Caenorhabditis elegans: one gene and its partners. The main gene of each other region encodes a partner of the protein of the gene in region 3 in a complex. Each region holds a gene or a part of one and is shown on either strand. Other genes may lie near its edges. The genes, in order: cdc-73, pafo-1, ctr-9 and leo-1.

Region 1 (7,079 bases), on a different chromosome or scaffold from region 3:
CTAATTTTCACCTAATTTTTTGGTATATTTCTAATACTTGTGCTATACCTCTAATTTTTTTCTCACTTTCTGCTTTCTGAATCGCACTACTCCCCGAACTCTTTTGAAGAATTTTGACAAATGAATTTAACTTGGGAATTCAAAGTGTCTAGTTTTGAGCCAGTAATCATGAAAAAAAAAAAAGCCGCGAAGCGACCGCTCCGCGTGGCCAATGGAGCAATATTTCGAAAATCCTAGAAGGCAATTTTGGCCAAAAAACGAAACAATGTTTAACTGGAAAATTTGAATTTTTCTCCAAAATATTACCTTGAAAATTCACGAATTAAAAAATTTGTTGCCGCGACGCGACCGCGCCGCCTGGCTGACGAAAACTGACGAAAATTGGGCAATTTTCCGCTTGAAAATCGAATTTTCTCCACTCCAAAAATGACGATTTCGCCACGTGGAAAATGATTTTTTCGCTAAAAATTTGAATTTTCGATTAAAAATTGTTTGAAGAAAAATGGCATTTTTAATAAAATCAAAAGTGATGAATAAATAAATTTGCAAAAAATGAAGAAAAAAAGAAAATTTCCGAGAATTTTCAGAGTCCAAGACGGGCGGTGAGATGTGGCTTGTTCTTGCGTACAAAATTCTCGATTGTCTCCCAAACTTGACTGAATCGAGCCTTATCCATGTGCCGTTTCGTCGCCGAGACTGGAATCTTGTGTACATTCCACTGCATCACTTGAGCCACCGGCTTATCCTGGTCGACGTGGAAATGGAATGCAGGAATGTGGGTGAAGATGTCCGTCGGATTTCCATTCCATTTCCAGCCTTTGAATTGCCACGCGACACCCATTACGAAGACGGCGATCACACGATCCCAATCATCATTGGCAAGCTTCTCGGCATTGTCGATTACGCGGATATTGTCTGAATCAATTTCAAATTTTAGGTTAAAATGGAGTTTTTGTTTTTTTTTCGAATTTTTAGCTTAAAATCGGTTAAAAATCCCAAAAAATACCATTTTTGCAGCGAATATTGCCTGAAACGTCTAGTTTTTTCGAAATGTTTGGTTAAAATTGAGTATTTTCGAAAGGTTAGGTGAAGATTTCAGTTTTTTTCTCGAAATTTCAGGGTTTTACGCTTTTTGCTCAAATTTCCAAACAAATTTTGAAAAATTGCGTATTTTTCCAATTTTTTAGCTTAAAATTATTTTAAATCACTTTAAAAAGGACTTTTTCGAGAAAAATCGAATTTTCAAGTCTATTTTCAAGTTTTGTGTAATTTGTCGTAAATTTCGGTGTTTTGGGTTACTGTAGTCTGTGGTCGCACAGATATGGGGCTACAGTACCCAAAATCGTCTCATTTTTCAAGTTTTTAAGTCAACATTTTCCATTTTTGCGCAAAAACCGGTGGATTTTACGATTTTCATTATTTTTGGGTTAAAATATTCGAATTTTCGCGTAAACAATCGTAAATTTCAGGCAAAACGCAAGTTTTCGAGAAGGATTTGACCATTTTCAGAATTTTGTCGTAAATTCAGATGTGTTGGGTTACTGTAGTCGGTGATTGCACAGAAATGGGGCTACAGTACTCAAAACCGTCATTTTTCGGGGTTTTTTTCGTCGAAATGTTTAATTTTCAGCATTTTTGGCTCAAGAATTTCAAATTTTTCCAATAAATTCAGATTTTCAAGCACAAATCTTAGTTTTTCTCATTTTTTGGGTCAAAATTTCCAAATTTTCGCGTGAAAAATCGCATTTCCAGCCAAAAAAACGCACAAGTAACACCATTTTTCTGCCGTTGAATAGCCAAATCGACAGGCTTCTTATTCGTCTCTTTTCGTCGCTGATCAACAGGAACATAGCTGAAATTCTGCAGAATATCTCGAACATTGTACAAATTTATCATCGTATTCATTGCCGACGGAACGATGATGATCGGGGAGCGAGACGTCCGTTTTGAGCCATTTTGAGCTGCTGATGAGCCTGATGACGTGGCAGTTGATGACGTCAGAAGCTGGATGGGCTTGGCGAGTGGAGGACGGCCTGGGGGAGCGTCGGGTGCTTCTGGAAAATTGAAAATTTTGTGAAAAATTGGCGTTTTTTACATTTTTTAGTAGAAATTTCAGAAAAAAAACCCAGATTTTAGGTCAAATTTTATGAATTCTGTGCAATTTGTCGTCAAATCCGACGTTTTGGGTTACTGTAGTCGGTGTTTGCACAGAGATAGAGCTACAGTACCCAAAATCGTCATTTTTCATGAAATTCTCCATTTTGAAGCAAAATTTCTGAATTTTTGTGTTAAAAATCACATTTTCCGGCACAAATTGGTTTTTCACAGGTTTTTAGTGAAAATTTCATAAATTTTCCGAATTTTCAGCTTTCCAGATCAACTTTAATGAAAAAAAAAAGCATTTTTTACGAGTTTTTTCAGTCAAAATTGGTGAGAATATTACAAAAACCCGGATTTTAAGTCAATTTATGAAGTTTTCCAATTTTGTTTCGAAATGTGGGAATTTTTCGGTGTTTTTCGAATTTAGGGTCAAATTTTATAAAATTTCTGATTTTTTTGAATTTAAAATTGCAATTTCTCGGATTTTACGAACTTTGTACCGCATGATGTCCCTGCTTGATACTGCTGAAATTACTTCCAATAAAAGAGCCTTCCGTTTGAATTTCCTTGGTTTTTTCCTGAAAAAATTGAATTTTAGTAGATTTTTGGACATAATTTCACTGAAATTCGAATCTTTTCTCAATTTTTCATTTATTTGGATCAAAATTTTCGAATTTTTGCGTGAAAAATCGCATTTTTACGTCAGTTTTTGAGTTTTGTGCAATTTGTCGTGAATTCCAGTGTTTTGGGTTACTGTAGTTGTTGTTTGCACAGAAACGGGGCTACAGTATCCGAATTCGTCATTTTTAGCGGGTTTTTGGTGAAAATGTTGAATTTTTAGGAAAAAATTGCCGGTTTTCACGAATTTCATAATTTTTGGATCAAATTTTCCGAATTTTTGCGTGAAAAATAGCAGAAAGATCGATTTTTCACCAATTTTTCTCAAATTTTCACATAGTTTGGGGAGGGGGCTCCCTTACATGAGCAAAAGCTTCCTGAGCATATCTAGAATAACCGGAACGTTGCTGTTGTCCACCAGCGGCTCCAGACTGATCTTTCGAGAGATTCGTAGCATGAACAGCCGCCACTTTTTCCTTTTTCTCGTTTAAATCCCATTGCCGTTGGGCTGAAGTGATAATATCGAGCACATTTGACAAATCTCGAGCTCCCAACATGACATTTTCACGGGTTTTGTGGATTCGAGTCTTCGGAAGTGAGGCTGACGTCAGTGTGGATAGGGATTCACTGAAAAATTGAAATTTCTTGATCAGAAAATCAGGTTTTTGAGGAAATGTTGTCCTAGAAAATCGGGGTTTTCGGATTTTTTTTGCATAAAAATTCTATATTTTTCAGGCTTTTTTTAAAAGAAAAATTGGCCGATTTTTGGAAACTTTTCGGTGAAAATTTAGAAAATTACGAGATTTTCAAACTAAAAATCGACTTTTCGTAGTTTTTTGAACCAAAAAATGAGAAATTCGGAGTTTTCTAAGAATTTTCGAGTTAAACAAGTTTTTAAGAAAATTTTGACCTAGAAAATCGAGATTTTCCGTTTTTTGCAATGAATTTTCACAATTTTTTCAGAAATTTTAACGAAAATACCCAGAAAAATGTCTATTTTGAGTACTGTAGCCCCATTTCTGTGCAAACACCGACTACAGTAACCCAAAACACCGGAATTCACGACAAATTGCACAAAAATCGGGTTTTTGGAGAAAATTGGCTCTGTTCTATGAAAATGGGATAAATTTAAGATTTTTTGAGTTGAAAATCACTTTTTTCTGGTAGAATTTCGGTTTTTTTAGGTGATTTGCGTAGTTTTTTATATGAAAATCCGAATTTTAGTAGGGAATTTTGAAAAAAAAAAATTGAATTTCATATTTTTTCCCAGTTAAAATTGTTTTAAATCGAAAATTGGCTTTTTACTGTTGTTTTTCGGTTTTCTCGGGTAAAAACTACGTTTTCAACGTAATTTTCCCAATTTTTCAACCGAAAACTGAGAAATTCGCAATTTCGTGAAATTTTCGGGTTTTCAGGCTAAAATCTGCATTTTTGCATCATTTTTCAGCATAAATTTGGCCTTTTTAGCCCATTTTCCTAATTTTTTGCCGTACTCAATGGTGACTATTCCTTTTTCTCGATGACTTTGTCGTTTTCTTCTCATTTCAGCAATTCTATCCTTTGTCAGATTGTCATTTAGTGCACGAATTTCGACTTCTTTCTTTGCAGCGGATACCGCGGATTCCTGGGGCTCATCTGGGAAAAAAATGGAGTTAATTTTGAGAAAAATCGGGATTTTTGAGCAAATTTCTGCTAAAAATCATGATTTTTAGCTTAGAAACGGTTATTTTTAAGGTAGTTACAGGCTTTTTGGCTTAAAATGAGCTATTTTATACTTTTTTAAGCTTAAAATCGGATTTTTATTCAAATGTTCACCTAAAATTGTTTTTGAGCTAAAAACAATAATTTTTAACTTAAAAACAGTTTTTTCTTTCGGTTTTTAGCTCAAAATTGGTGTTTTCTTCAGATTTTCAGCTTAAACTACGTTTTTTCCAGTTTTTTGGCTTAAATTAACTATTTTGTAGTTTTTTAGTCCACAATTGGATTTTTGGGGGTTTAAATGGGGCTTTTAGCGTGAAAGTAGGTTTTTATTAAGCATTTAGCCTAAAATTTGGATTTTAGCGTAGAATTCGTCGGTTTTTAGCTTTAAAAATCGTTATTTTCAGCTAAAACCTTTTAAAAATCGATTTTCAAGTCATATCTTGTCTAAAAATCCTTATTTTTAGCTTAAAAACGATAATTTTTAAGGTTTTTAGCTCGAAATTAGTTTTTTTTTCAGATTTTTGTTTAAAATAACCCGAAGTGCTCGTGTCCATTGGCTCGCCGGCGGCTTCACCGTCTAAACGTGGCTTTTTTGCTTCTGGCTCCGAGGAATGGAGCAATTGGCGAAGCGAAAGCGGATTTACTTGGTTCATCAGCGCCGGAAAGTCTGTGCGGTCACCCTGGAGGTACTCTGTCACATTTTTTCTGAAAAATTACACGTGTTTTCGGCTAAAAATCGATATTTTCTACCTATCAATACGTGTAACGGCTCGAACACCGGCGGCGGCCGCTTCTTTCACATAAACTCCGTGATTTTCGTGTGAGTACTTGAGAAATACGACCAGTGACTCCAAAGAGTAGAATTCATCGCTTTTTCCGTAGATTTGGAGGCTAGTCTCCGTGTCTTTCTTATAAGCGTAGTCGCCGAACGCCACATACGAGATTCCGCTCTGAAAATGAGAAAAATGATTGGAAAATCGACAAAAATCGTTAAAACACTTACCACGGTGACTTCTCGCAGCGGAAACTCTTCTGGCCTCTGCACATGCTTTTGGAGAGCTTCCAATGGGTCCATTCTGCTGAAAAAATGCAGAAAATTAGACGGAAAATCGATGAAAAATGAAGGAAAACGCGGCGAAATAAATTATTTTTCAAATTAAAAAATCTGGAAGAGAACAGTGAGAGAGCGGGATTTCTAGGCCGCGGCCACGAGAAAAGAGCGCGAGTTTGAAATTGAATATCTACAATTTTGAGATATCTGCCTATTTTTAGGCTTAAAAGTAGCAAATTTCGTGGAGATTTTTTCAACTAGTCAAATTGAAGAAAGAAACTTATTGAAGCAATATGTATTAACCATGAAAGTGTAAAAAAGTTACGAAAATGTTGGGAAATGCACAAAAAGGTGAGGAAAATGAAAATTTAGTCGTGTTTGTCACTTTATTTCTTGATTAAAGTTGTGATTAGCAGCAAAATGTTCGATAAACAATTACGGAAAATTTGAATCTTGCTATTTCTGTGGTACTGTAGCTCGAATTCTGTGCAAACACCGATCACAGTAGCCCAAGACCCGAAGAACTCGGGGGATGTCCAACTGGGGGGATTACCAACTCGGGGGATTGGCCCCGCCCACAGAACCGTGGCTTGCAATACGCCCATTTCTGCAACTGCCGCACGGTTTTAAAATTATTTTTTCTTGTTAATTCTCGCTCTATTGAGAAAAATACAGTTTTAAAACCGTGCGGCAGTTGCAGAAATGGGCGTATTGCAAGCCACGGTTCTGTCGAGTTGGTAATCCCCCCAATTGGACATCCACCGAGTTCTTCGGGTCTCTAGCCCAATACACTAGAATCGACCATAAATTGCACAAAAATCGTGAAAATGAACAATATTTCAAAAATTTCAGCACAAATTATATGCTTATCTTTGAAAATTCCACGTTTGCCCTTATTTTCGAGGTTTTTCTGCAACTTGTCGTCAAATTCTACGCCTTGGGTTACTGTAGTCGGTGTTTGCACAGAAATGGAGATACCGTACCCGATGGCAGCGTTTTTCAGCGTTTTATGTGAAAATTCTTGATTTTCATGCAAGTTTCCCAGAAAATAAAAAAAATCAATAAATCAATCATTTATTTTCGGCCGAGAGGTTCAACGAGTTCAAAGTACGTGTCGAATCCGATTTCGGTGAGCCACTTCTCTGCTGATCGCCGGCCGACACCAAATCCCGACAATATGCCATATAGAACAGTATTTGGCGTAAAATCGATATTCCGTAGTGAGCCAGATTGCCGAAAATGGTCGGCGATGGAATTACACGATGCGTCGTGAATTTCACGGCGGCCATCTCTTTTCGAGCCGCTTGCCAGCGTTCATACATCGGTTGTATCTGGAATTATTGATCTTTTCAGAGGGGACGGCGGCGGGGCCGAAACCGCGACGCGACCGCAGCGCATCAATTATTGATTTTTGAACGTGTACCGCAACGCGACCGCGGCGCATGGAAAATCGATATTTCTAGCGAAAACCGCCCAGCAACCGCAACGCGTTAAGCATAGATTTTTTGAACTGAAGCAGTGGCGCGACCGCAACGGATCAAATATCGATTTTCAGACCAAAACCGCGGCACGACCGCACCGCCACCCCAATAACTTACACCGTTGATAA
Region 2 (4,167 bases), on a different chromosome or scaffold from region 3:
ACGGGCTGGAATTTTGAAATGAATTTCTTTTGGAATACAGTGCTTTTTTTACAACTTCTACGACTTTAAAGGCGCGCGCATTTTCGCGCAATGGTCTCGCCACGCGCATCCCTTTGATTTGTTGAGCGCGTGGCGAGACCAATGACGGGACCATTTTGTATAAATACGCGCGCCTTTAAAGTCGTAGAAGTGGAAAAAAAATGCACTGTAGTTTCGAAAATCTATTGCTACAGTAGTCATTTAAAGAATTACTGTAGTTTTCGCTACGGGATATATTCAATGTTTCGCAATACGCATTCCAATCAGAACGGTAGTTCGAATTTCCCCCAAAACTAAACGTCTTGCCCTCTGATCCTGTTGCTTCCGCATGACAAATCAAAGAATAGAACGTGGAGCACATAAGCGCAAGCAACAGACACCTACACAAACAGAACTTTGCGGGTGTTGGTGTTTCCGCTGTTGGTTTTTTCTTCAATTGTGAGTCAAATCATACTTGCACTTTTAGCGAAGATTCATGAAGATCAATCGAACAAATAGTTGAAATCGTTATCAAGTTTACTGAGAAAAACCAATTTGATTAGGTAAAATAAATAGAAAAACAATTTTAAAAATTTGAGATCAATCACTGTCGCTGTCAACAGTCGGTTCCTTTTTCCGTGGTGAATCGTCATCTGATGAAACGTCCGAAGAGCTATCAGATCGTGATTTCTGCGGCTTGTCGTCATCAGAATCACTGCTCTGATCTGAACTGTCTCCTGAAAAATTGCATGTTCGCGTGGAAAATAACACTTCAAAACTTAAATTTACTCACCACCTTCTTCTTTCTTCTCTTGAATCTTTTCCAGAATCTCTTGTTTTCTGGTCTTTGGCTGTTCGTATAACTCAGCCTCTCTTTTATTCATGTCTTTTTGTTCCAGTTCGGAAGGATTTCGGTATGTGAGTGTCAATTTGGATTTTCTGCTCAATGCCATTTTTGGTTTTCTTGTCATCTTGACATTACAGTCAACTTCGTTGTACTGGAAAACGTTATTACGATGATACATAATGAAGACGTCACGATCCCTTGGTGGCAAGTGTTCCATTTTAAATGTGTATTCACGGCTTAGCAAGAATTCGTACTTCATATCCTCATCAAATGGTCGTTCTAACTCAAGATCATCCATAAAACTCGTAAGACATCCAATCGTTGGAACAAAAACTGCTGCAAATTTTTGATCTTCGAATTCCATGGCTTTAATAACACTGCTCTCCCGTGCTTGTTGTCGTTCATCTTCTTCTTCGAATTCTGTTGTTATAGTGTCTCCATCAAATTGTACATGAGCAAAGAGGTGTTTCCAGTGATCGAAATCAGGGAAGACAAAGCTTTCTTCAACAGCTTTTACACCCTTCTTGGAGTAATGCTCCTTGACGGGTTTACGAACCTAAAATACGCAAAAGTAGATTTAAATCAAAAAAATATATTCTGGTACTTACATCTTCAAATGTCTTGTTAATGGCATCAATTTGACTCTGCTTGTCACGATACATATCTTCAACTTGTTGATTTTTCTTCAAGTTATAACCAAGCTTCGTCTCCTGTCTATCGGCTGTCACACCGAACCGATTGAATTCAGTTGAAATGTACTCGGTTTTTCTCATCCATGGAACAAGTTTAGAATGCTGTTGAGATCGTTTTGCAATCAATTTAGCGGCGCCATCATCTTCCAGTAAAATATTGTCTTTCTCATCAATTTCCTAAAAGTGAAACATTTCTATCTTTGAAACTGTATATTTCAGGAAAAAACCTACAGTTTCGATTGGATCTTCGTCGTATTTTTTTAGATCAATCAAATCGACATTCAAACCCATGTCGTCGTCACAAATGACTGCATGCTTGTAATCTCGATAAATGGCAGCAGGTTGGAATTCGACAAATCTAAATTCAGAGATATTGAACAATGTCAAACGTTTCAAAATTGGTGTACCTTCCCAGAGGAACAAATGGACAAGTCATAAACTTTGCATCAAATGGGACATCAGGAACAGTATTGGTAAATCGAGGTTTCAGCATGAAATCCACTTTTCGTCTGCAAAATGTTTTCAAAACTTTTCTAGCGATTCAAAACAATAATACTTACGGAGGTTCAATCCTTTTGGCATCTGAGGATTCTTGGGGCATTTTTTATAGTAATTTAGTTATAATATTAAGATACCAATCGGCAGAAACGGCTGCAAATCGAAAAAACTAGTCACCGAGGGAATTAAATTCAAACTCTCACACACGGGTTTTGCGCAAGCGCTCAATGCGCGTCAGCAGGGAACAATGGCGCATAACCAGTTTTGCGCGGGTGTTCAAAAAGTATTTTTTGTTTTGTGAATTTCCAGCGTTCTCGTCACGATAATATTTATTTTATGACAAAATGCCATCATTAACATGATAATATTGTAAAAGGGACAATAATGTAAATATAAAGGTGACAATGAATGGTCCAGCAATGTAGAGAGCCAATGCTCCTTTCTGGAAAATTATATAAATGTGGGGTTGTGAACTTTTAAAGCCTACATTATCATGATCATCGTGCATTCCGATACTTTCACGCTGAACAAAGCTAACAGTATTCTCCATTTCAGCATTTAGCTCTTCACTACTTCCAAAGAAAACATCCCACAGCCAAGATCCGAACATTTTTTCCGAATTCCTTTCACAGCAGAGTGTACCATAATAAACTCGATGCTGGTATGTATGAACACATCGTCCCACTTTTTTCTTGTCACATAACTTCATGAATGTTTCCTCGGTTAGATTGAATGGCTTGAGAATTTCCTTCGAAGCACAACCAGAGGCAAATAGAAATGCGTGTTGCTCATTTCGAACGATTTCAGTGAGCATAATTTGTTGAAAGCATGTCTTGAAACCGGAAGTGCAGTTTTTGTACATGAAAGTTCGAAGTTCTTTGTGTCGAGTTCGGGATAAAATTGGGCAGGATACCTTGAATGAAATAATATTTTTACAATTTTCTAGAAAGATCTTATTTTGAAATTGCTCATAACCTACAAAAACATAACAATAGCAAAACAAATTGCGCCTAGTTTTTTGTCTATCTTTTTTTGTCTATCGTTTCTCTTTCATTAAAAATATTTGAAAGAAAATTTCCCAGGGACAACTGGAAAAGCTCAGGAATAGAACCAAGGAAAGTCCTTTATAACATCTCCTGTGTAAACCTACATTCACATTTTCCCCGTTCGCAACCAACACTTGATTGAAGAGCAAAACTGTATTAACCAAAATCGAAATTATCATAGTTTTCTTCATTGTCTAATTCTTTGATCTCTTCTCAGAAATTCCGAAATAAACTAAAAACTGCAATAAACCAAACTAATTATTGTGGCAGTTCATCACGCTGTTTATTTTGCAGAACAGAAGAGAAATACTATTGATAAGAAATAATAATCATCATTCATTGATTTTCGATTTCTGTTAATTCAATTCTATGCTTAAATTCTAGTGAAAATGTCTCCAAAATCAGTTGTGGTAACCGGATCCAATCGAGGATTGGGATTTGGATTAGTTCAACAATTTCTGAAAGATCCAAATGTTCAGCATGTCATTGCGACTGCAAGAGATGTTGATAAGGCAACTGTAAGTTTTTTCGAGTTTATTTATACTTTATCCGTTGCTGAGATTATAGTTATTTGTATTAGGTTTGTGTTCCTAATATTTGTATATGGTAAAAATTTCCCAACAACATGTATTGGACTACGGCATTCTTAATTTCCAATTTTTCAGGCTCTCAAGGGAATTTGTGATCCACGACTTCACATTCTTCAACTCTCACTCGGATCCGATGAATCAATTGCAAATTTTGCTGAAAAAGTGTCTGAAATTGTTGGAGAATCTGGATTAACTCTTCTTATAAATAATGCAGCTGTGATGCTTCCATATGTAACAAAACAAAAACCTGATCGAAAAGTTGTTCTGGATTTGTTTGAGTCAAATACAATTGGTCCAATGATGCTTACACAAAGCCTTGTACCACTCATAATCAAAGCTTCGAAACGACAGGAAGGCGATACACTTTCCGTTTCTCGTGGTGCAATCATTAATATTGCATCCGAATTTCTTGGTTCAATTTCTGAAAATACCAGTGGTTCTGGTGAATATAAAGCAATGGCATATCGAATGACGAA
Region 3 (7,786 bases):
TACACTTTTCAACTTTCCGACACTACTTGAATAACTCCATTATGGAAGCTTAAATTTAAAAAAAAACGTAAATTTAACCAAATCGTGAGAAAAACTCACAACAACGAAAATTTCAAATTACAGTGCTTTTTGAAGACCCCAGTTTGTATTTGACAAAACTTTGTCGTGTCGAGACCGGGTACCGTATTTTTGCGTCAAAAATTGCAATTGTTGTGTAATATGCTTCACTTATCTTCAAAACCCCAATAAACGTTAAATTATTCAGGAATTGTGGAAGAACGTATTTTGGAAACAACGACAGCATCCCTTCCTCCAGTTACACAATCTCAACCAATTGGATCTTCTTCTTATTATTATTCTACATTTTATCTTCCAATTATTTTATATTTCTTGCTATCTCGTATTCTTTAATTCGTCCTATTGTTTCATGCTTTCTTTGCTCCCTCCTTCTAGTCCTAAATGCCCTCGCTCCTCACGAAAACTGGTCTCAAATTGTAATCGAAAACTCTGCGACTAACGAAAACGAACTCACAGGTACCATTATTTGTTTGATAAATGAATTCATGTCAAAGATTGAAAGTCTTGGACTCGGTGATTAAAAACGGGAGAATGTATTGTGAGAACGAGCACAAGATGCTAGATTTACAAAGAGTACAAATAAAACATTTGTGAACAACAAAAATAAATAAAAACTTTAAATTTAAAAAAAATTGGTTCAGTCGCTGTCGCTCTCGATAACCTTCTTTTTCGGAGCATCACTTCCATCACTGTCCCTGGAGTTTCCACCAGCAGGTTTATCATCATCATCATCTGAAAATTTCAACATTTTGTATACGATTTTCCGAAAATTTGAAAAAATTTCATTTGTGCGATAATAGTCTAAATTTTAGTACAATTTTGAAATGGTTTGTAATTTTCCTTTAAAAAATTTGTAAGTGTTTTTTTTTCTTTTTTTTTTGCGATTTCAGGTATTTCGAAAAAATGTTTAAAATTTAATATTTTCAAATGTTCCAAACATTGTTTGAAGTTTTTTCCGATTATCACTGAATAAAAACTGAATAAAACTAAAAATCGAAAAATTTTCGTTTTTTGATTAATATTTTTCAAAATAAAAATATTAGTATTTTTTTCGATTTTGAGATATTTGAAATAATCAGGTATTTTCAGAAGGCGACATCCTCGGTTGTCGTTTTTTTTTTCAAATCTATGATTACCATCAGAACCTCCAATAATTGGCTTATCATCATTATCCGATCCAGAGCCAGATCCGGAGACTGATCCTTCATCAGAATCCACAACAGCCTTCTTCTTTTTCTTTTTTGTAGTTGTCTCACGATCACTATCACTGTCAGTTCGGGTTGGACTATCTGCAAAAAATGGAATTTTTTGAAAATCAGAAATCAATAAACTAACCAAACTCATCAACTGGCGGCCGCGGATCAACCTCATCATCCGATGAATCAGCAGCAGGCTTTGGTTTGTCATCATCAGAAGATTCCGATGAAGATAAGAATGCACGAGATTTTATCTTTGCTGATTGTTTTGCTGAGAGCTTCTCCTGTAGTTTTCGATCCCTCTCTTCCTTCCTCTTTCTCTTTTTCTCATCTCTTCTGTTCGAATCAGGTCCACCACTATCTCTACGTTCTCTCTTCTTCCTGGATGCCTTCTTTGCTGCCTTATCCTTCTTCCTTCGTTCTCTTCGTTCACCATCTTCACCTCCTTCCTCTCCATCATAATTTCCAGCATCAGAACTATCATTAACAAACTCATCACCATCATCATTTCGTCGTTTCCGTCCACCACCTCCTCTTCTCTTTTCTTCGACAATTTCTGGAAGTCTGAGAACATCTTTTGTCATTTCTATGAATGATAATCTAAGATTCTTCATATCTTCGAGCTTCTGTTTTTCAGCTTCTTCCTTAGCACGAGCTTCCTCAATCATCTTGTTCTGCAATGCTATCTTCTCTTTCTCTTGCTTCTCCATAAGACGACGTTCTTCTTCATCTTGAGTCTGTGCAGCTGCTAATTTATGCTTTGCTTGAGTTAACAAATCCTTGCAATTTTTAGCTTCTTCTGCGCAGATTGTTCTCGATATTCGCATTCCAGTATGGCTCGATTGACGATCATCATTTTTAGAGATGTATTGGAAAATTTTGTCGGCGAATTTGAGATCATCTATAGCCGCAGTCACTTGTTCTGATGTCATTTTGTGACCTCGAAGTACTTCTTTTGCAGATTTCTTCAATACAATAGCATAGTTAAATTTCAATTGGGTATTATCCAATTGATCAAGCATTGCACATTCAAGTGCTTCCTTGGCTTCATTCAACATATTTGCTCGGTAATAGGCCTTTGCAAGATAGTGTTGCAATGTCGAGTCATTCTCCTTTCGAAATTTTTTCATCGCAGACGAATACATCTGAACAGCAGCCATCCATTGCTCTCGTTCCATGCAAACGTGAGCTATATTGAGCCAGACATCGTAGAATTCACTGGTAGACTCGCGAACTTGACTGAAAACATCTCGAGCATCATTCCAGTTTCTTTTATAAGCAAGCACACATCCGATTCCATTTGCAGCATACATGTTTTTTGGTTGAAGTTTCAATGCTTTTTGATACATTTGGAGAGCTCGGTCAATGTACTTTTTCTCCTGAAACAAAATATTATTAAATTGTTTGAAAATAAAAATTAAATATATTGTTCATTCTTTAATAGTTAAGTACAAAATGGTATCGATTATAAAATTTAATATGAATAAATTTCAGAATGCAAGTGATAAAGCAATAAAAAACCTACATCTTCCTTTTTCCTTGATGGATTGAGAAGCTGCTCGAACCACACATTACCAAGAGCTACCAGCGAGTATGGATCAGGAATTTTGTTGTTGAAAATCTTCGACAAAATGAATTCAAACTTCTTCTGGGCAGGCATCCATTCATTCTTTGCAAAATGAAGATTTCCAATAAGAGTCCAAACAATTGGTGATGCTTGATCAAATTGAACGCCTTGTTTCAACCACAAAGACGATTCATAGACTTGATGACGATCACGAGTGATACATCCAAGACGAAGATATCCATCAATATATCCAGGACATTCTTTCACAATATCCTTGTACATTTGTTCGGCTTCAACAGTACGACAAAGATGCTCCAAGCACAGAGCCAAATTGTAACGAATTGTGAGAAGGTGCGATTTTTCAGGAGCACTTCTACGTTCTAAAAGTAGAGACCCTTCATCAGTATTCAATTGTTCTTCAAGACGTTCTTTAGCTCTTTTGAAGTGATGTTCAGCTTTTTCATATTGCTTCATTGACATATACAAAGCACCGACGTTGTTGAGCATTTCGGGTTGTGGTTGAATACTCTCATTTGTTACAAGCAAGTCGATTGCATTTTCATACAATTCCAGAGATCGTTTTGGATCTGTTGCTTCGAGAAGTTGAGCCAAGTCGATGCATGCTTCATAGTCATCATTTTCAACTGCCAGATATTTTCCAAGAACATCCCGTCCCTTTTGCCGTGCTTCTGCTGTTTGTGCCGGATCGTTTAGCTGAACATGAGCATATAGACTTCCAAGAATTTTCATCGTGTCTGTATTGTTTGGCAATCGTTTATGAACAGTATCGAAGCATTTGATTGCTTCTTCAATTTCATTTCGATGAATGTACATTTGACCAAGTCCATAGTGAGCAAGGGTGTGCTCTCCATTGTTTGCTTGTCGAGCTTGGTAGTAGTACTGAAAGTAGGATTTTACACGTATAATATTCCAAAATGGCCAAAACACAAAAATTTTAGGTAGATTTTTGAATATTTTCAGTCGAAGCTTTCGTAAATTGGAAAAATATGAAACTTAAAAAAAAAGGACTTTTTGAGAATTTAGAGCAATGTCTTTCGAGACACGAAATAAGAAAATTTCAAAATTCTAGAATATTTCCGTGCATTTTTTCTGAAGCTTTTTTTAACATAAAAATCATTTGATTTTTCGATTGCTTTCAGGATTCAATGACAAAATTCCGGGGTTTCTTTCGAGTTTTTAATTTTATATTTTTAGTTTATGATTTGAAAACTCAAAAACAAACCTTATAAGCACCGTCAAATTGCCCTTGTGCATGCCTGCATCTTCCCATTTGATAGAAAGCTTCAGCTTTTATCGAATCACAATCATTATACGTTGCTGCATGCCAGGCAAGTGTCCATGCACGCTCAATTTCTTTTTTGAAAAAGAAATGATTAGCAAGATGAATAAGAGCAACTGGATGATCAGTTTGTAAATTATAAGATCTTCCAAACAAACTGACTGCGTGTTTGAGGCTGTCATGGTCGTACGTGTTCAACAGAATAATTCCCAAACCACACATGGCCGATACATTATATGGTTCAATTTCCATGGCTCTTTCGAATGCCGTTTTCGCTTTGTCCATCATTCCCATTTTAGCGAAGCAGTGACCGATTCCGACTCGAAGATCTGCGATTGTGTGACGACATTGTCGAATTGCTTTTCGAAAGTAATAGATTGCAGTTTTATAATCCTTTTTATTGAATGCGATTACAGCTTTTCCAATCAACGGGAGCACATTCTTCGGATTGGTTTTAACGACATAATTGAATTGTTGATCAGCAAGTTCATACTTGTTTGTACTTTTATCTCGTTCAAAAAGATAAAACCAAGCACGAACTGTCAAGTGAGACCATTCATACATCGCAATTTTATCGGCTGTGTTGAAAAGAACTGTAGCTTTCGAGAAGAAATCACTTTTCTTGTCCTTGGCCTTCTCTCTGTAACCTTGAGTCATCCAGTAGGCAGCAAGTATATCCAATGCTCTCATTTGATCCTGTTTTACTCCTTCATACTCCAATCCAGCACGAGATCCAGCAGATTCTAGAATCATCATGAATAGATCAACACGATCTTGTCTGTAATATTCGAGAGCAACTTCAATCCAATACGATAACTTTGCTTCTTCTGCTTCCAAAATTTGAAGGACTTCTTCGCCATCGGGGAGCTCGGAGCAGTTGATTTCAATTACTTCCTGAATAAGTTTTTCATTATTTGATTCAGAAAATTAATTTTTCAAGATTTTATTTCACGAACAAACATAAAAAACGTTTTTTTTAAACAATATAATATTTAATAAAAATCGATCATTGTGCTTCGGAGGCCACTAATGCGAATAATTTGGAAAGAAGGGCGACATCAACAAATGGTTCATGTTTAAATGTGAGAAGGACAAGAGTAAATACGTCCCGGCTGTCATTTTGAGCGAAATCGAAGAGCACGTCTTGCTTCACTTTCAATTCTTTCTTAAGCATTGTAATTATTAACGGCAAATTCTCGTCAAGGGTCTCCACAATGTACTTTTCTTCAATATTTTGACTTTTTTCGGTCAATTGCTTCCAAGCTGACATTCGTCCTTGTGCAACTTCGAATTTTCCAATAACTTTCTCAAAATCACTCATAGTTTGATTCAGTTTTGAATTCATAACAACAATCTCATTGAGAACACGATCAGATTGATCTTTTGTTAGTTTTGCAGACTCCTCTACATCAACTTCTCGCGAATATAGCAGTTTCAGACGTGAATTAACTAATGATTCCAAATATTGGACTGATTTTTCAGAAGCTGTCGCCCAGTTTTGCATTAAATTCCAGACTTCGATTGAGAAACGGCGGAGACGTTTTAAGTGCGTACCCTGAAATTCAAAAATATCGATAAATCAAGTCGGTTGGCTGAAATAAATTCGAAATTTGAAAGTCCTACCGACATGATGAATCAATATTCCCAAATTTCCTCACTAAGAAACAACAACGATCGATTTTTGAAATTATGAACACTTTTGAAACAAAAACTTACATCTTCGTGACTGTCTTTCAATGGAATAGCGATTGTTCTGGTCTCTTGCACATCATCAATACTTTCGTCCATCTCCTTGGACTTTCTGACCTGTAAAAAACACAAATTAGATCTTTCTTGACAAATATTCAAGTAATAGTACCCAAGATTGGGAATTTTAAAGATTAAACGTGGTAGTAGACTTTCCAAGCGCTGATGCAGAATAAATCATGGATTTATGATAAACTCACTTTAATTCTTACAAAAAGAATAAGCAAATGAATAAAATATAAAGATTAAATAACGTTTAACTTTGAAATTCAAGAAGAAATTGAGAAAAACAGGATGCAAAAAATATCTTTTCGAACGAGGCGCGATGCGCGTGAAGTGTAACGCATTGTACGCAGAGAGCACAAACATCAGAACTGACGCGCATACACACTTCATCATTTTCAGCCCAAATTGTAAACAAATTCCTTATTTTCAAGCTAAAATTTAATTTTTCATTGGTTTTATAGATGCTAATTTGTTTCAGGTGATAATGGCTGATGCTGCCGAAGGTGAACAACCAAAACTCTCCAAGAAGGAGCTCAATAAGCTTGCTAGAAAAGCTAAGAAAGATGAGAAAGCTGGAGAGGTGAGATTTTGTTAACTATGCTCGTTAAAATAGGGTTTAGTCTAAATTTATAGAGTTATTGAAAATTCTGTTGAGCTATTTATTTTTAAAGTAAATAATTTTCTATAACCTCAAATGCTATTTTGAAATATTTCGCAACTAAGCAATATAAATTCAGAAAGGAGGAAACCAACAACAGGCTGCCGCTATGGACCAAGAAGACGCATCCAAAGACTTTTATGGATCATATGGGCTTGTTAACTCTAAGGAAAAGAAGGTGTTGAACTTTCTGAAAGTCAAGGAGATCAACGTTTCCAACGCAACAAAAGACGTGAGTTTTAACAGAGGATATGCTCATCTTATTCACATTTTTGTAGGTTTGGGTCCGTGGGCGCATTCACACTACTCGATCGAAGGGAAAGAATTGCTTCCTCGTTCTCCGTCAGGGAGTCTACACCGTTCAAGTAGCAATGTTTATGAACGAAAAGATTAGCAAGCAAATGTTGAAGTTTGTTTCTTCTATCTCAAAGGAGTCTATTGTTGACGTTTATGCTACTATCAACAAGGTTGACAATCCAATTGAATCTTGCACACAAAAGGATGTCGAACTACTTGCTCAACAAGTATTTGTCGTTTCAACTTCTGCTCCAAAGCTTCCGCTCCAAATTGAGGATGCATCACGCAGAGCACCAACTGACGAAGAGAAAGCCAGCGAGCAGGAGAATCAATTGGCTGTTGTTAATCTCGATACAAGACTTGACAACCGTGTCATCGATCTTCGTACGCCAACCTCTCATGCTATCTTCAGAATTCAAGCCGGAATTTGTAATCAGTTCAGAAACATTCTCGATGTTAGAGGATTCGTGGAGATCATGGCTCCAAAAATTATCTCTGCGCCAAGTGAGGGTGGAGCCAATGTTTTCGAAGTTTCCTATTTCAAAGGATCCGCCTACTTGGCTCAATCTCCACAACTCTATAAGCAAATGGCTATTGCCGGAGATTTTGAAAAGGTCTACACTATTGGTCCAGTATTCCGTGCTGAAGATTCTAACACCCATCGTCATATGACCGAGTTCGTTGGACTTGACTTGGAAATGGCCTTCAACTTCCATTATCACGAGGTTTGTAATTATAGACTAACATTTTAATAAAATTTCGTTTTTCAGGTTATGGAAACCATTGCAGAAGTGCTCACCCAGATGTTCAAAGGTCTTCAACAAAACTATCAAGATGAGATCGCAGCCGTTGGAAATCAATATCCAGCTGAGCCATTCCAGTTCTGCGAGCCACCACTTATTTTAAAGTAGGAAATTTTTACCATTTTATTAGATTAT
Region 4 (3,904 bases), on a different chromosome or scaffold from region 3:
TATTCAATGAATACTTTTTTCAATTTCAATTTTTTTAAATTTTAAATCTTTCGGACATAGTGGTTCCGTGTATATTATAATATGATTGATTCAAAGATTTGTTGTTAGATGTAAAAATTTATTAGTCAGTTTCTTTATCAAACGTGAAAAATCATTTCCTACATTTTCCACAAAGATGTTTAAAATACTCTGGAATCAAAAGTCAAAACCTATAGTTTTTCGAATTTTAATTTATGGAATCTTCTTTCAAATCATTATATTGATGTTTTTACTGCGATCGAGAAGCTCTGGAAATCAAGAAGAAGCTCAGTTGATATTAAATGTATCGATTTCCCCAAGAGCAATGGAAAACGATAAAACACGGAGGTTTGATTTTGAGAATTCTGAAATCGTAGATTATTTCAAGTTTCAGAATTTATGATACGACACTTGATGCCAATTCTTTGAGAAGCGAGGAAGACGTAGTGGATGTATGATTTTAAATATTACATACAATCTGATTGAAATTAAGAAATAAAAGCTCGGTTTTTCATAATATTGTGGATGTTTCATTATCTCGAAATATCGAAGACTAAAATAAATAAGGAAAGGAAAACATTTTCGAAATATTGTAAAGGGAGAAATATTGAATTCGCGAAATATAAAATTGTGAGGATCAAAATTGAAATAAATTTAGTCAGATTCTTCGTCACTGGTGACAATCTGTTTCTTTTGTTGTTGTTTTCTCTTTCGGTACTCTTCATCAGAATCGCTATCCGATCCGCTTTTCTTTGTGGTATCCGCATGATCGTCCTCACTTTCTGAGCTGGCACCTGAAATATATTATTGTAGTACAGTTTCTTTATTCTGGTAAAGTCCTAATCAAAATTAAATTGAACTTACCAATAATTGGTGCTTCCTTCTTCTTTCCTTTTCTGGATGACGTTGGCATATCTTCATCATCAGAATATTGTCCTGCATATCTCGGACCACGAACTTTAAAGTTATTCCGAACCATCTGAGTACGTCGGATGTGTGCACGAAGTGATTCTTCCTCCTTCCGGGCATTCTCACGCCGTGTAATTTCCGGATTCTGACCAACATCGTCCATGACTTTAACTTGAGCATTCTTCCTGCTTCGATCTGCCATATTGAGTGTGACTTTTCTGTGAGTTTGGGAATCAGTCGAGTGAGGACGGAAGGTCATACGATGTGTAAGAACAGCTTGAGCCGACTAAAAATGACATAAATTTTGATTAAAATAAAAACATTAACAATCAAAATACCATTAATGTTGGCTGCTTAACGTAAAGATGGGGAAGATTATTGGAATTCAGCGGCACCAATGAGACTTCGAAAATTTCGTTTCCGAGGTATAGAGACATTCTGAAATTAAGTCACGATATGGAAATTTTGCATCAATTGAAAACTAACGTTCCATCGTCCCATTTTACAATTTTTGCATTACTCTCTCGAATTTCTTTTCCATTTTCATCTTTGCGAACTCGCCAGCGAAGTGTATTTTCCACCTTAAAAATTGTATATTTGATGAGATGTATTTATAACACAGACATACTCTCAATTTGAGACGTGTTCGTCCTTCATCATCCAATTTCGCCTGCTCATCATCTTCGTCTTCCTCGTAATGTTGTGGATCAAATGGATGAGTGGCGACTGATAGAAAGTTTGGCATTCTGACAAAATGTGGTGGATCTGCAGCGTACTCCAAAGTAACACGACCTGTTACCATCTGGAAAATCAATGTTTTAATCACATTATTTCATTGAAAATGTTTACTTCAGTATCATGAACATGCTCCTTTGCTTTTTCATCTTCATCTATTTCATCTGGATTAGCCATCACAATTCCTTGCAAATCATTCAAACTTCCACGACTCTCCGCATCGGAATCTGACAATCGTGCTCTTGTATTTGATTCTTTCGGCTTTCCTTCTCTGTCGGAATCATCGTCGGAAGAGCCAGAGAGATCACCGAACAAACCACCACCAGCACCGGGGGAACTCTTTTCACCTCCTCCTCTCGGATGAATGTTATCGTCAGAAGAATCGGACAATTGTCGAGGAGCAGGACGAGAATCATCATCATCGTCGGACTCATTTAATATCGCTCTTTTCTTAGACGGTTCTTGTTTTTTTGGTGAATCTGGCGACGATCCACGAGAAGATGGAGTTGATCTGAATTGAATTATATTATTTTAGAAACACAATTACCATTTACTTACGATTTAACTGGTGTTCCTGGTGCAGAAGCGTCAGAATTACCCTCAGAAGATGACATCTGAATTGAAAATATTGCATACCTAAGTTCTTTGAATAGCGAAAGTAGCAAAACAAAGTAATAATTTGGGGTCGAATATACCGATAAAAATTGAATAATAAAAGTAGTTGTTGAAAATTCAGATTTTCTTATCCATAGGCAATAAGTTGAAAATGAATATTGGGGGATCTCTATTACAAATTATTAGCAAACAAAAAGAAAACAAGGATTATGAACAGTTATGAAACTAAATCTTGCAATTCGTAGTGAAGAACAAATATAATTATAGCGAGAACATCAAAAATAGCATCTACCGGAATTTTAATTGGAAAGGAGACACTGGGGAACGTAATAGAAATTAAATAACTAAATGAATCTTGATATGAACAATGAAAGTTTCTGGTGAAAAACGGCCCTAATTTTTCATAAACATTTTACGGAATTGATCATTTGAAAGTGGCTGAGACGTTGAAGTGCCTTCGGAAACATCCATTGCGTCCAGCCGAGCAGTGATTTGAGGAGTTTTGTTTGCTGAAAATGGATTTTTTTATGCTAAGCTGGGAACTAAAGATGATATACTTACTAATAGCTCTGGGAACCAATTGCAGTTTTGCAGCATGTCCTTTTCTAGGTCCATCTTCTTCCAAACTTGCTCCAATTGCTGCTGGTTTTCCATGCGATTTATCCTTTTTTACTGGTGGATTGGATAACGCTACCTCTAGTTCTCTTTCTCGAAGCATCAATTTATCACCAGAAGCAACACATTTTTGAGCACTTGCTTCTGTGTCAAAATCTACGAATGCGATTCCTTTTGGTTTTCCATCTTTATGAGTCACGCGTCGAACACTGGTTACTGTACCGAATTTCGAGAATAATGCCTGAAATGTATCGATTTAGAATATAAAATGATAGATAAGTATATATTACCTTTAACTCATCGTCGGTTGCCTGGAAGTGGACATTGCGAACGAAGACTTTCGATTTTTCAAGAGTGGTTGAGAATTTGAATCCAACCCGTTTTTCTGGATCGTTGGCGGAGATCTGAATTTTCAGAAATTAAAATTTCACAAATATTTATAAAGTAAAATTAAAACTTACAAACATTGGCCTTCCCTTCACAGGAACTCGATCTTTCAAGAGAGCTTGCTGTGCCTTCTGATCATTCTCCATTACAACATAGGCGAACCCTCTGTGCACAAGATCCGAATTCGCTTTTCTTGCGAATCGAATTGAAGCAACACCTTCAATGGCTTGTCGAATTTCGTCTTCCGTCGTAGTGAAATCGAGATTAGAAACAAAAATTGTGCGAGCATCTTCCGTTCCTGGAGCTGCTTTCTGAACTGCAAAGGAACCTGGAGCTGGTGTCGACGAAGCATTTGAAGAGGATACAGCTGATGAACTTTTCGCATTGGATGGTGGAAGTGGAGCTTTGAATCCTAAAATTTAATTCAAATTAACTTCTTTACTTTTAAAAATTATTTACCTCCGTCGTCTCCTTTCACTTTTTTTACAATTGGTTCACCTCCCGACGTTCTCTTCTGAATATGATCTTGCTTTGATTTAGGAGCTGGAGCTGGTTTCTCAGAAACTTTCTTTTGTGGTCGAATGGCTCGATGAGCAACCTGTGAATTCACTTTCTCAAGAACCAA

What was found.
Region 1: ctr-9 (region 3) and cdc-73 share a complex: the UniProt entries of both Caenorhabditis elegans proteins name them as parts of the PAF1 complex.
Region 2: ctr-9 (region 3) and pafo-1 share a complex: the UniProt entries of both Caenorhabditis elegans proteins name them as parts of the PAF1 complex.
Region 4: ctr-9 (region 3) and leo-1 share a complex: the UniProt entries of both Caenorhabditis elegans proteins name them as parts of the PAF1 complex.

The regions. Positions count from the first base shown.
Region 1 is NC_003282.8:4,040,994-4,048,072, reverse strand, and holds cdc-73 (Cell division cycle protein 73), read right to left. Parts: upstream 5,499-7,079; 5' UTR 5,495-5,498; coding exon 5,423-5,494; intron 5,370-5,422; coding exon 5,170-5,369; intron 5,125-5,169; coding exon 4,955-5,124; intron 4,354-4,954; coding exon 4,212-4,353; intron 3,346-4,211; coding exon 3,081-3,345; intron 2,679-3,080; coding exon 2,594-2,678; intron 2,055-2,593; coding exon 1,767-2,054; intron 916-1,766; coding exon 584-915; 3' UTR 501-583; downstream 1-500. Other genes in the region: F35F11.2 (DUF4200 domain-containing protein), read right to left, coding at 6,541-6,801, 7,069-7,079. UniProt on the Caenorhabditis elegans protein: Component of the PAF1 complex which is a multifunctional complex involved in transcription initiation via genetic interactions with TATA-binding proteins, elongation and transcription-coupled histone modification.
Region 2 is NC_003283.11:11,519,757-11,523,923, reverse strand, and holds pafo-1 (RNA polymerase II-associated factor 1 homolog), read right to left. Parts: upstream 2,222-4,167; 5' UTR 2,159-2,221; coding exon 2,118-2,158; intron 2,067-2,117; coding exon 1,965-2,066; intron 1,916-1,964; coding exon 1,789-1,915; intron 1,735-1,788; coding exon 1,474-1,734; intron 1,422-1,473; coding exon 812-1,421; intron 756-811; coding exon 619-755; 3' UTR 540-618; downstream 1-539. Other genes in the region: C55A6.11 (uncharacterized protein), read right to left, coding at 2,390-2,497, 2,543-2,968, 3,206-3,292; C55A6.7 (DeHydrogenases, Short chain), read left to right, coding at 3,491-3,619, 3,767-4,167. UniProt on the Caenorhabditis elegans protein: Component of the PAF1 complex which is a multifunctional complex involved in transcription initiation via genetic interactions with TATA-binding proteins, elongation and transcription-coupled histone modification.
Region 3 is NC_003281.10:9,489,801-9,497,586, reverse strand, and holds ctr-9 (RNA polymerase-associated protein CTR9), read right to left. Parts: upstream 5,948-7,786; 5' UTR 5,930-5,947; coding exon 5,858-5,929; intron 5,697-5,857; coding exon of another isoform or gene 5,148-5,696; exon of another isoform or gene 5,069-5,147; intron 5,036-5,068; coding exon 4,085-5,035; intron 3,742-4,084; coding exon 2,800-3,741; intron 2,654-2,799; coding exon 1,414-2,653; intron 1,368-1,413; coding exon 1,215-1,367; intron 811-1,214; coding exon 716-810; 3' UTR 543-715; downstream 1-542. Other genes in the region: sod-4 (Superoxide dismutase [Cu-Zn]), read left to right, coding at 266-411; dars-1 (Aspartate--tRNA ligase, cytoplasmic), read left to right, coding at 6,378-6,473, 6,631-6,783, 6,830-7,573, 7,619-7,755. UniProt on the Caenorhabditis elegans protein: Component of the PAF1 complex which is a multifunctional complex involved in transcription initiation via genetic interactions with TATA-binding proteins, elongation and transcription-coupled histone modification.
Region 4 is NC_003282.8:11,327,094-11,330,997, forward strand, and holds leo-1 (RNA polymerase-associated protein LEO1), read right to left. Parts: upstream 2,277-3,904; coding exon 2,221-2,276; intron 2,174-2,220; coding exon 1,777-2,173; intron 1,730-1,776; coding exon 1,556-1,729; intron 1,509-1,555; coding exon 1,414-1,508; intron 1,366-1,413; coding exon 1,266-1,365; intron 1,214-1,265; coding exon 883-1,213; intron 813-882; coding exon 673-812; 3' UTR 528-672; downstream 1-527. Other genes in the region: B0035.21 (Kinesin motor domain-containing protein), read left to right, coding at 263-366, 413-476; sart-3 (Spliceosome associated factor 3, U4/U6 recycling protein), read right to left, coding at 2,671-2,786, 2,839-3,133, 3,183-3,296, 3,354-3,691, 3,739-3,904. UniProt on the Caenorhabditis elegans protein: Component of the PAF1 complex which is a multifunctional complex involved in transcription initiation via genetic interactions with TATA-binding proteins, elongation and transcription-coupled histone modification.